Rattus norvegicus: one gene and its partners. The protein of the gene in region 1 purifies or fractionates together with the protein of each later gene. This does not show direct contact. Links are inferred from orthologs where the notes say so. Each region holds a gene or a part of one and is shown in the gene's direction. Other genes may lie near its edges.

The links. Proteins that work in one complex are often made in the same cells at the same time.
Region 2: the proteins of Araf (region 1) and Fkbp5 purify together in Homo sapiens (affinity purification with mass spectrometry; 4 studies listed by BioGRID and IntAct, with this or other methods). This does not show direct contact. The link is inferred for Rattus norvegicus from reciprocal best matches to the Homo sapiens genes ARAF and FKBP5.
Region 3: the proteins of Araf (region 1) and Bag2 purify together in Homo sapiens (affinity purification with mass spectrometry; 3 studies listed by BioGRID and IntAct, with this or other methods). This does not show direct contact. The link is inferred for Rattus norvegicus from reciprocal best matches to the Homo sapiens genes ARAF and BAG2.

The regions. Positions count from the first base shown.
Region 1 is NC_086039.1:3,782,576-3,786,220, reverse strand, and holds part of Araf (serine/threonine-protein kinase A-Raf), read left to right. Parts: intron 1-2,356; coding exon 2,357-2,533; intron 2,534-2,622; coding exon 2,623-2,669; intron 2,670-3,153; coding exon 3,154-3,272; intron 3,273-3,501; coding exon 3,502-3,633; intron 3,634-3,645. UniProt on the Homo sapiens protein: Involved in the transduction of mitogenic signals from the cell membrane to the nucleus. May also regulate the TOR signaling cascade. Phosphorylates PFKFB2.
Region 2 is NC_086038.1:6,540,679-6,544,954, reverse strand, and holds the start of Fkbp5 (peptidyl-prolyl cis-trans isomerase FKBP5), read left to right. Parts: upstream 1-1,399; 5' UTR 1,400-1,486; intron 1,487-1,537; exon of another isoform or gene 1,538-2,035; coding exon of another isoform or gene 2,036-2,062; intron 2,063-4,276. UniProt on the Homo sapiens protein: Immunophilin protein with PPIase and co-chaperone activities. Component of unligated steroid receptors heterocomplexes through interaction with heat-shock protein 90 (HSP90).
Region 3 is NC_086027.1:43,473,761-43,477,904, reverse strand, and holds the start of Bag2 (BAG family molecular chaperone regulator 2), read left to right. Parts: upstream 1-1,267; 5' UTR 1,268-1,287; coding exon 1,288-1,400; intron 1,401-4,144. UniProt on the Homo sapiens protein: Co-chaperone for HSP70 and HSC70 chaperone proteins. Acts as a nucleotide-exchange factor (NEF) promoting the release of ADP from the HSP70 and HSC70 proteins thereby triggering client/substrate protein release.

The DNA.
Region 1 (3,645 bases):
CAATAAACCCCTTTTCTTGTGGAAAAAAAAAAGAATCTTTATGCTGCTGAGGTAGCTCAGCACCAAGCCTGACAACCTGGATCCATTCAGTCCTCGGGACCTATATGGTAGCAGGAGAGAACTGACTCCTGAAAGTTGTCCTCTGTTCTCCACATGTACACTATGGCAAACATGCTCTATATACACAGATAAATATATGCAAAGGAATCTTCATATTTGATGGGAAGATAGCTCCATCAGTAAAGTGCTTGCCATGTAAGTACTTGAGTTTGGATTCCCAGCACCTACATAAAAAGTAAAAAGCTGGGTGCAGTGGTGCATACCTGTAATCCTAGCACTGGGAAGGCAGAGACAAGAGTGGATCACTGGGGCTTAGCCAGTCTAGGTAATTGTTGAGGTCTAGGTTTAGTTAGAGATTTGGTCTCAAAATGAGGTGGAATGCAGTCAAGGGAGATAGATACCCAATATCAACCTCTGGTCTCTCTCTATCCATGCAGATGCACAGGTGAACACACAATCATGTATGTGTGCCACATACAAAACAATGCAGAGTGTGATTAAAGGATACACCTGACATTGACCTCTGGTCTCCATTTGTGTGCACAGATGCACATGCACACCTGTACATTAAGTCTGTCTGTCTTCCTCTCTTCCTCCCCTCCCCCCCACTGTCTGTCTTCCTCCCCTTCCCCCACCTCTCTCTCTCTCTCTCTCTCTCTCTCTCTCTCTCTCTCTCACACACACACACACACACACACACACACACACACACAGAGGAATCCCTATGCTGAGAATGATGGTACATGCCTATAATCTCAGTACTTGGGAGGCTGAGGCAGAAGGACCAAAAGTTTGAAACCAGAGCCGCTATGATAATGTAATAAAATACTTAACCATGCAAACATGAAGACCTGAGTTTGCTCTCTAGCACCCATGTAAAAGGCTGGGTATGGCAGCACAGGCTTACAAGCTCAGCACTGGAGAAACACAGATAGGAAGATTCCAGGGGCTTGTCAGCCAGCCAGTCTAGACTAATTGGCATGCCCTAGGTCTGAGTGAAAAATCTCTGCCTCAGAACAGTTGCTAAGATAAGTAAATATATAAACAAAGCCAGTAGCTCCTGGAAACAATATCCTAGGTTGACCTCTGGACTTCACTTAAATCTGCATATACTTGTACTAACACATACATGTATATTTTCACACTCACAAATACACAGATTGTTCAAATGATCTGGGTTATATGATGAAACCTAGTCTCAAAAATTTTTTTTTGCATCTGTGTAGCAGTGTGGTAGTACATGTCTGTACTCTTAGAACTTGGCAGTCTGAGGCATGAGGATCAGGAATTTGAAGCCAGTTTGTGATACATGAACTCTGTTTCAAAAACCAAAACTAATCCTTGTGTATAATCTCAGTGGTAGAGCATATGCTTAGCCTATGTTCTATCTCAAGTATCAAAATGAGATGGGAATGTCCTGGTGTTTTGTTGTCTTCTGTGATCTAAGTATCATCCCTGTTTGCTTTTGTGTATTCAAACTGTGGTTAATACTCATATGAAAGAATGTGGTTTTCTCATAAACTATATTAAAGAGGTTTCTGTACATGACAGTTTCCATGAGGTAGACCCAGGTAACCAGAAACAAACTGGAAGTTTCAGAGTGTTTACTGTTTGTTCAGCTTCACCCTTTGTAACATCCTCATAAAGCAGCTGCTGTAATGATGATAGTTGTATGGTTTGGGAACAAGAGGACCAAAGCGGTTAGAAGTTCTCTCCAAGGTTGTAACTGGTAAAGGTTTGGCCCTGGTTCCTGTGTCCAGACTCTTTACCTCTAAGTCTCTTCAAGTGATTAGTAAACTATCACACTCCCATGTCACACATGTCTCCATGGCTTGACCTTGTCTTTATCAGTATTGATGAAGAAGGTTGGCTTTGTACTTTGTCATCTGTAAAATAGCCACTGCCAAGTGTGGTGGCCCATGCCCATGATCCCAGTGCTTGGGAGGTTGGGTTAGAAGGATCACTGAGAGTTTGAGGCCTGCCCAGGCTACTTAATGAGCTCCGGGCCAGCTTGGTATACAGCATGAGACCCTGTTTCAAAAACAGAAGAAAATAATAAAATAAAATAGAATTTTGTTGAGGAAGGTCAGGACAGCCACCGCTACTCAGCTTCCAGCAGCCCATCAAGTCTCACAGATTGGGATCTGACAACATTCTGGCCCTGAGCACCCTTAAAGACAAGGTAAAATGAATGATAGGGAAGGTAGCTGACATTGTTTTTCCTGTTGCTGAGTAAACACATGACACTTGTTCTATTTCCTGACCCCTTCCTCAAACCTATCCTCCCTGCCTACAGGAAGACACGACATGTCAACATTTTGCTGTTTATGGGTTTCATGACTCGGCCAGGGTTTGCCATCATCACACAGTGGTGTGAGGGTTCCAGCCTCTACCACCACCTACATGTGGCTGACACGCGCTTTGACATGGTCCAGCTCATTGATGTGGCCCGGCAGACTGCCCAGGGCATGGAGTGAGCCTTATATCTTAGAGAGTTGGGGAGGTGGGAGGGAGAGCTGAAATAGTCTCCAGATAATTCACTACCCACTTCCATCTCCACAGCTACCTCCACGCCAAGAACATCATTCACCGAGACCTAAAGTCCAACAGTATCTACCTGTCCCTGACTGGCATTGGGGGTGGGTATTAATCAGAGTGATAGTTTAAAGGGATGATTTTGGGGGGTAAGTTTGGGGAGGTGAAAAGGGAAGGGCCTGTGGTTTCTTGTCAGGTAACAGAGCTATACCTGGTGAAGGACCCTTTAAATGAAGGACCTTTGTTTAGGGGTCAGATGGTTCACATACTGTTGGGTGCCCTGGTTAGGTGAGATCTAGTAGTTCTAGATGACATTACAGGGAGCTCATGGTCAGTGTCCAAGGCATGACAGATTTAGGTGTCATCCATGGGACTTGTTGGTCTTGGGTCACAATGGAACCAAGTGGGGTCCCATCAGTTGGATAGTTAGAATGAAATGGGGGTGACTTCTGGCAAGAGACATGACCCACTAGCACAGGGGTTCTGAGAATCATCCAGTCAGGGTATGTATGAGGCATAGCTATTGGGATTCCTTGTAATGGCCCTTGACCCTGCTGGATATCTTCCTACATGAGGGGCTCACAGTCAAGATTGGTGACTTCGGCCTGGCCACAGTGAAGACACGATGGAGTGGGGCCCAGCCCTTAGAGCAGCCCTCAGGGTCTGTGCTGTGGATGGTAAGTTGGGCCAGGCTAGATGGGGACCAATGGGAGATGTGGACTTTTGGATTGGGGCATGCCAGGCAAAGTAGGGATGCCTGTGCCAGGTGGGGGTATCTGGACTGCCAACATTTCACCTCTAGTGGGTGGCACTGAGTTGTCCTCAGTGTAACTCTCAGGATCTAGTACTGTGGGCTAGTCATTTTTTGACCCTCATGGTCTCCCTGCCCTGTCTGGCCTACCGAAGGCAGCTGAGGTGATCCGAATGCAGGACCCGAACCCCTACAGCTTCCAGTCGGATGTCTATGCCTATGGTGTTGTGCTCTATGAGCTTATGACCGGCTCACTGCCCTACAGCCACATTGGCAGCCGTGACCAGGTGAGCCTCATA
Region 2 (4,276 bases), on another chromosome or scaffold:
CATGTGGCCACTCCCCAGGAGGTTGGTTAAAGGAGGTTTCCAATCATTGAGGAAAGGCGAGCGACTGAGGAGGACCCCTGTCTTAGACAGGGGTCTTTACACCAGTTTTGTCTTTTCCACAGTCGTCTTGGAGGATAGGGAAAGAAGGACCATATGATCACCCACATGGTGACATTTAGACATTTGATATATATCACCATACACGGGGGCATTTATCTTCCTGAGTTCTAAAGTGTGACAATACAAATTAAACCAAAACTAAAACAAAAAGCAGACGTGGAACCAGGAAACATGGATTCTCACATGGCTACAAGACATTTCATAGGCAATTGGGACTTTTACTCCCAGAGAGAGAGAGAGAGAGAGAGAGAGAGAGAGAGAGAGAGAGAGAGTGTGTGTGTGTGTGTGTGTGTGTCTGGAGAGATCCCTAGCTGTTATGAGCACTGGCACTTGCTGGTTGCTTTCCCAGCCTCTGGGAGAGCACAGGATGCTTACAACTCCAGTGACAGGGGATCCGACGCCCTCTTCTGGGCACTGCACTCACAGGATACACACACACACACACACACACACACACACACACACACACACACACACACAGACACACCCTCCTTAGGCAAAACACTCATCACAAACGTTCTTCTAAAAATCTTTTAAGAAACCAACAGTTAGAGCTGAAGTCCCAAGGTGCAGCATCTGAGCGTCTGAGGAGTCACCCAGAGGTGGCGAGTTGGTGGGGGAAGGGGTGCCATCTTGAAGCTGAACTTGGCTCAACAGCCCATCCTTTGGGTTCTTTTCTGACCTCATTACCTGCTGTGTTGCAGAGGCAGAGATCCCAAGGGAAAGCGTGGTCTTCACGCCCACTGGGTGTCCAGAGAGAGGTGCTAGATCGGATTCTTCCCAGTCTCTAAAGGAGCATCTTTAAGTTCATGAGGTTATTTTCCCGGGGTCAGCATGGCCTGACCTCTGCGGCCTCGTGAAGGACGGGCTGGGTAGACAGACGGACGAGGTAGGCGCTTGTCTGGTCCGTATTCTGTCTGGAGGCAAACGAGAAGAGGTATCAGTCAGCTTCCTCCATCCCTCCTCTCCGGCCCCCACAAAGGGCAAGGGCCAGACACGTGGGCCGCGGTGAAGAGGCGGGGATGCAAACGAACGGGGCGGAGGCTCATTTGCATAGACAGTGCGCGGCCACCAATCAGGACCGGCGGAGCGGTAGCCCGCGCGCCTTTTGGGGGCGGATTGACAGCCCCGCGGCCCTATGGGAGGCGGGTCCTGCGGCCGGCGGGGGCGGGACGACGGCGGGCGCTGCCCGGCGCACTAGCCGGCTTGCGGGCGCTGCCAGTCTCCGGCGGCGGTGTCCGGCGCGCGGCTGAGCGAGCGAGCGAGCGTGCGGACGGAGCGGCGGCCTGCTGGGCGGGCTGAGCGGCGCGCGCGGCGGAGAGACGCGAAGCGAGGGACGCAGTGGCGGCGGCGGCGGCGGCGACAGGTACGGGCGCCATTGGCCGCGGGGATGGTGCGCGCGCGCGCGCGGCGGACCCGGGAGCCGGCCCCGTGCTCGCGGTCCCGCTTCTGCCGCCCCTAGCGCGGCTTCCCTGGGGTGGCGTGGACGGGGCGTGCGGGAGGCCTGGGCCCCGCGTGGGTGGCGGAGCGGCCGGCGCCCCTCACCAGCGTCCCCCTCAGCGCGGCGCCGGCTCTCTCGCCCGCGCGCGGCTTTTGTTTCCCGCGCAGCCCACAGGTCCGGGGAGCCCCGTGTCGCTCCGCCACGCCGCCCTCCGGACGCGGAGGAAACTTGGCCTTCCGGAGCCCTGCGAGCCTCGCGGATAACGGAGCGCCTCGCCGCGTCCGCGGGGCCGCGCGATGGGCGTGCCGGCCGGGCACCGCCCTCACCTGCCGCTCCCGAGCCGGCTCGCACCAGGCAGGCAGGTGACCCGAGGGCCTCGGAGGTCCGGAGGAGGAAGGGCCAATTAAAAGTTGCTGTTCGGGCCTCTGAGGTGGCTGAGCGGGTACCGGCGCTTGCAGCCAAGCGTGACACGACATGGGTTCGATCCCCGGAACTGACATGGTGGGTAAGGCGAACCGACTCCCGCGAGTTGTCCTCTGACCTCCACGTGTACACAACACAAACACACACCTCTGACTCTGATGCACACGCTCATCTCTCACCACCCCACCCCCTCTCAATAATACTAAGGAAATAAAAGTTATTTTAGGAGTCTTCATTCCCTTCGGCCCAGCGATTATCACCACTCCTGTTCCGGCCATAGTGCATGACTCCAAACGCAGCATTTTGTGTGTGTTGGAGGGATGAATCTAAGGGAGCCCAATGCATTGTGATCATCTTCCTCCTCCTCATCTTCGCCTGTGGATGAGCCAGGTGGGGCGCTTGCGCCTCGTTTTTTAAATCATTGGTGTCTGCAACCGTGGCGAACGCGTTGGAAGAAGGTACAGATCGTAAGCAGAGCGTGCAGAACTTGGGACAGCCCTCGGCGGGGCTCGGGACAGTGTGTACAGCGCTTGGCCGCCATTCAGTAAATTCTGCATGCGGCAGTTGGGAGCTGGTGGTTTGGGGATTTTTTTTTTTTTCCCTTTCAGGAGTGTGTATTCCAGAGAACTAGGGCTGGGCGTCGAATGGGCGCTTTCTTTGCTTTCTCTAGGGGTGGGAGAGAGTGTCTGTTTCCATTGTCTCTATTTTCACAGGGTTGTGAACAAGGGAAGGGTTAAGGTGTGCTTGGGTTAAGTGTTTTGCCTCTTCCTTCCCACTTCTTGCTGTTAGCTTTATGTGTTGTTGTTACAAAATTGTAGCTTTTCCTCGTGGTGTCTGAATCAATTCAAGAAATGACTTGGGGGAGAAAAATCTTATTCTGGTGGGACATTCTTACCCTGTAATACTTTCACTTAACTGTTTTCTGTTACTCTCCAACCTGTTCCTCATTTGCCCAACATGCTTTGTGTGTGTGTGTGTGTGTGTGTGTGTGTGTGTGTGTGTGTGTTTGTGTGTGTACGCGTGCGCGGTATTTTTTGTTTTGTTTGGTATTTGAAATATCAAAGTTTTATTCCTTTGTTACTGGGAGTTTACTATTCCATTAAAACATACATAAAGTTCTGTAACCTAACACTCTTTTTTAACAGCTTTCACTTTGGGGGGTTCTACAGAAATGGGGTGCTTTAGCTGTTTTTAAGTACAAAGGTTAATAGTAATATTGTTTGTTAGAAACACTCCAATTAGTGTTCTCCCCTTTGTCTTCTGATGTGTCATGTGTGGTAACTGCCTTGGATATAATCTATACTTCAGAGATGTTGAACTTCAGAGCACAGTTAATTTTTATTTAATTACACTAATTAATTGAACAATCATTTTATTCATCTAGCTAATTTGAGTTAGCTATTAGTTGGGACCACTTGAGATTATTATTATTATTTTTTAATTTTGCTTCGTTTTTTGAGACAGGCTTTCTCTGTGTAGCACTGGCTGTCCTGGAACTCACTCGGGAGACCAGGCTGTCCTTCATCTCAGAGATTCCCCCTGCCTCTACCTCCCAGAGCTGGGACTAAAGGTGTTCACCACCACTGCCCAGCCACTTGAGGTAATTTTAAGTTAATCCAGGAATATTTTCTGCAAATTGTTTTAACACAATAGATTCATTAGTGGGGCTTTTGTCATTCCAACATTTAACAAAAGGATGTTTCTCTAGTCACTTTTTAGATTTTATCTTTCGGTCAGTGTTTGTGAGAGAACTTGGCACAGGTGTGGTTGTCAGAGAACAGCTTTGGAGTTTTCCTCTTGCCGTGTGTGGGTCCTGGACTTCCAGTTCCGGTGGTTTGGTTTGTAGGCTCTTTCCTCCGCTGAGCAGTATCACCAGCCAGCATTTCTTTTTAAAGACAGTTTAAACCACCTCAACATGAAAAGCCTAGGGTTCGGGATTGGGCAAGTCAGTTACTTTTTTTTTTTGTTTTTAAAGATTTATTTATTTATTATATATAAATACACTGTAGCTGTCTTCAGATACACCAGAAGAGGGTATCAGATCTCTTTACAGATGGTTGTGAGCCACCATGTGGTTGCTGGGAATTGAACTCATGACCTCTGGAAGAGCAGTCGGGTGCTCTTACCGCTGAGCCATCTCTCCAGCCCCAGTTACTTTTGAAGATTTTCTTTATTCTTGGGCTGGAAAAGAATGTGTATTGTGTCGTTAGTTCCTGAAGGCGAGTCAGGGGGATGTGTGCCGCCGAGCTTCAGTCAGCTGAAGCTCTGAGAGTCTGAAAGCTGATACAGGGC
Region 3 (4,144 bases), on another chromosome or scaffold:
GATAAAACATCATGACCAAGGCAACCTGTAAAATAAAGCATTTAATTGAACTTAGATACAGAGGGTCTGAGTCTATAATGGCCACAGAGATGCCCTGAGCACTCACATCTCAAACCCAAGTCGAGGCAGAGAGACACTAGGAATAGCTTGAATCTTTTCAAACCTGCCCATAGGGATACACTTCCTCCAGCGAGGCCTCACCTAAGTCCTCCCTGGTGATGAGGACAGAGAGTACAGGGAGGGGGAATTCAAACAACCACATCTGCCTGGCTTAGTTGCCAACCTAGCACAGAGGCAGACACTCTACCGCAGAGCTGTGTCTGCAGCCCCTTTTATTTTTCTTTTGACACAGGCGCTTGCTGAAGCTTCCCAGCCTAGCCTTGAATTCACTCTGGCCTAATTCACACAACTCTGTCTCAGCCTCCAGCGGAGCATTAGACCTGAGACTTGCCCAAGCTCAGACTTCCAAGACGTCCACAAAATGTTCAGATTTCTCGGTCGTGTCGTGAGATGACCGTGTTTAATGAAGCCAAGATAATCCACCGCTCATTAGTATTAAGATGAGTTCAGGATAAGGATGGGGTGGGGGGTGGAGGGGTGGGACTAGAAGCCAGTCGTACTTAAGGGGCTTGTCTCTGTTCAGTGATCTAATGGCTTTGAGTTCTGAGTGAAGGAAGTAAATGAACTTTGTTTCCCTGTGCATTTCTGTATCCTGTGCATTGAGAGAGCAAAACACGACTTTAAGTGGACGCGGCTTTGTACTTCAGCCCTGCTGACCTCTACAGCTTCTGACACATGAGCCTACCGAATATCATTCGCAGAGGATTTAAACAAGTTATGTGTGAAAGTAATAATCCTTTCATTGGAAAGGCAAGACAACACAGATGCACTTGGCTTCTCCTTATTTGGAGCCTGTGGTCCAGGCTTTCCCTGGACTCTCCGGAGCCCGCCTGGTCACCCGACAGGTCGGGCAAGTAGAGACTGCCCTTTAGGGCGTCCTGAATTGTCTCCGGCTCTCCCCACGTCACGGGCAGCACCCACTACGTCCTTGCTGTGAATCGTGGGTGCTGGGAGGAACGGCGTGGGCCCTCGGCGCCCCGGGGCAGGGTCCCCCACCCAGGCGTGCGGGCGGCTGCGCCCGCGCCTGCCCTTGTTTGGCCGCGCGGCCTCGGGGGTGGGGAGCCTGGGAGGTGGGGGCGGTGCCGTCCGCGTCAGCGGCGCCTGCGGTGACGGCGACGTGCGGCCCGCGCCACTGCTACCCGCGGACGCCGAGGACCCCCGGAGCTCATGGCCCAGGCGAAGATCAGCGCCAAGGCCCACGAGGGCCGCTTCTGCCGCTCGTCCTCCATGGCCGACCGCTCCAGCCGCCTGCTGGAGAGCCTGGACCAGCTGGAGCTCAGGTGAGGGCGGCGGGGGCGCGCGCGGGCGGGGGCGCGCTCCGGGTGGGCTCCCCTCCCCCGGCCGGCAGCGCGGCGAGCCAGTGCGGCTTGCAGAACTTCCAGATCCTTCGGCGCGGTCCCCCTCTGCCTTTAACTTTCCCGCTTCCAGGGGGCAGGCAGCAGGTTGGTGTGGTCCTTCCCCCCTCCCCTGTAATAAGTTTCTTTGCCCCAGATCACTTCATAGTAACACAAGAGTAAGTTTTAAAAAAGAAAAAACCCAGGACTGCCCCTCCGGGGGACCAGCGAGAATCAGACTCAAAAGGGGCCGCGCGAGATACCGAAGTTGGATACCATCCTTCCTTCTCTTAACCACGTGCAGTGCCCTCTGCAGTCTGTCCGTGTATGTTGTGCGTTTAGAAGACACAGCTGACACTTGGGAAGTGCCAGTCGCAGGTCTGAAAACACCAAAGGCAGGCGTCACACTCTCCCTGAGATTCTATCACGGGGACGGCCTTGTAGTAAAATTTCTAAATCGTGAATACTACTAGCAGATGCTGTGAATACTTGGCTTTAGCAACATGAGCCCCGGTGTATCTGGTGGGAACGTTAAGGTCTCCAAAGTTGTGCAAGTTTTGATTGTGTGCAGGCGCTGTTCCATGAAAATCGTATGGAGACACCCTGACACATGTTGTTCCCTAGTTTTCTCCAGGTTCTGCATAAGCAGAAATATGAGCCAAAATCTTAAGAGTCTTGTGCGTCTTCATCTCTCTCCGTGCATCCACCAAACACAGTATGTTTGCACAGAAAAATACAAGCAGTGTTTGTTACAATTGAGGTGTTCGCTATTTTTACTATTAGGAGAAAAGAACCAGAAGGTGAGAAACTTTTAGTCTCTGGAGTAGCAACCACAAGAGAAGCCTGAACCCTATGTCCCCCAAACCGGAGGGAGACAAAGGGACCTATGCTGAGAAGGGAGGGGGTCAGCATTAAAGCCCCTCTGAAAAGAGAGGAGTGTTTCCCTCTGTGAGGTAGGCTCCGAACTTTGACAGTACATTCTCAACTGCTCCGATTTTTTTTTTCCTTGAAGGGTTCAGGAAGTTGTCACTCTTCCTCAAGCTGAGTCATTGTTCAGAAACTTGAGTTAATCCCTGCCGGCCATGTGCTGAGTCCCTCCTCTCCTCCTGGGGGCCTCTTGAAAGTCTGGGGGTTGCTTAGTGTTACATTCTAATGTCTGACTACGTCAAAGGAATCTCAATTCCCGGCCCATAGGAGATTAAATTATGTTACTTATTAACAGTTGCGCTGAAGGGGGTTTCTTACTGTGTGTTTAGTGGTTCAAGGCCTTTACCAGTAAGCGCAGATTTCTGTAAGTCTTGTTTCTCTTTAAAAATGTGATGCGCACTTAGAAGTAAGTTTGTCAGAAGGTGAAAGAAATGGGGGGAGGGATGATGCTGCCTTTTAAGGTTTGGGGGCCCTTTTTAGAAGCCACCTGGACAGTGTCACAGAGCAGGACACTTTAAAATTAGGCTTTTCAAACATGGGTAGAGAAAGATGACGCTCCTGTGACGTCCCTCCAACTTTCTTAGTGCCCATGTGTGGGAAAAGCAGTGGATGGGGTAGTGTAAGTCATTGGTTGGTAGCCAGTGTGCATCTTCCATTCAGTTGAACTGGTTCTGTGGACTGAAACCACATCAAAGGCTTTATGTCCTGCAGGATGAACTGACCTCGGGGGGTGTCCGAAATGCTTTAAAATGTTTTATAAATCGGTAACAGATGCCGTTTGTTTCTAATGGCTTATGATATTAACGACACCATCTTACATTAAAACAATATTTTATTACTACGCCTCCTCTCCTGCAGTGCTTTCTCTAAAAAGATAATCCCGTCCTTTCCTGATTTACATGACCAGCTCTATGGGGATTCTGCGCTTGTCGAGGCCGAACGCCTTACTCTTTAGTGGTTATCCTAGTTTATAAATCATCCATGTTAGCATCAGTCTGTAGGCTAGGCCTCGTGTCTCTGGGGGAGTTACCGTTATCTGTATTGCGCAGATGAGAAGTTGAAGCTCAGATATACACAACATGCTTCAGTCCAGAGCAGAGCACTTCACATGTGAACACGGGAAGACCGGCTGCTCAGGTCAACACCATGTGTCCTGGTCTTGAATATCACTTTTCAAACTGTCCGTCTGACCTATGAATGAATATGATTTTACTAAAAGAGAAGAAAATCAATTTAGCGTTTGAGTCAGTAAACATTGAAGACCTGGAGCATGTCTGTTATTGAGTAGCTTCTAGGAGCTGTGGGTCAGGGGCTGGGCTTTGGACATTGGCCAAGGAGGTATAATGGTTGGTAGGACTGGGAGATCGGCTGCTTACACATCTCCCAAAACCGATCATGTGGTGAGCAGCTCCTTCCCAGTTCACTCAGCCAGCAGGGGCCAGGGAAACGGGCCACCCCCTGCTTTGGTTTCTGACTGTTTAAGGTTCCTGTTAGCATGTGCCAGTGTTCCAGGACCCACAAAGCAAGTTGACACCATATTTAATTTGTCGTTAACAGTCTGTAATTTAGAAGGAACGCTTTTCGTGCACACTGTCATTTGAATCTTATAAAACCCCCGAGGGAGGAGGGCGTTATTATCTTTTAGCAGTGAGAACGATGGGCTGTGATGGGACTTGGTGGGAAGGATGTTTGTCTAGCATGTTCATAACCCTAGGTTTGATCTCTGGCTTCAGAAAACCAGCATAGTGGTGCACGCCTGTAGT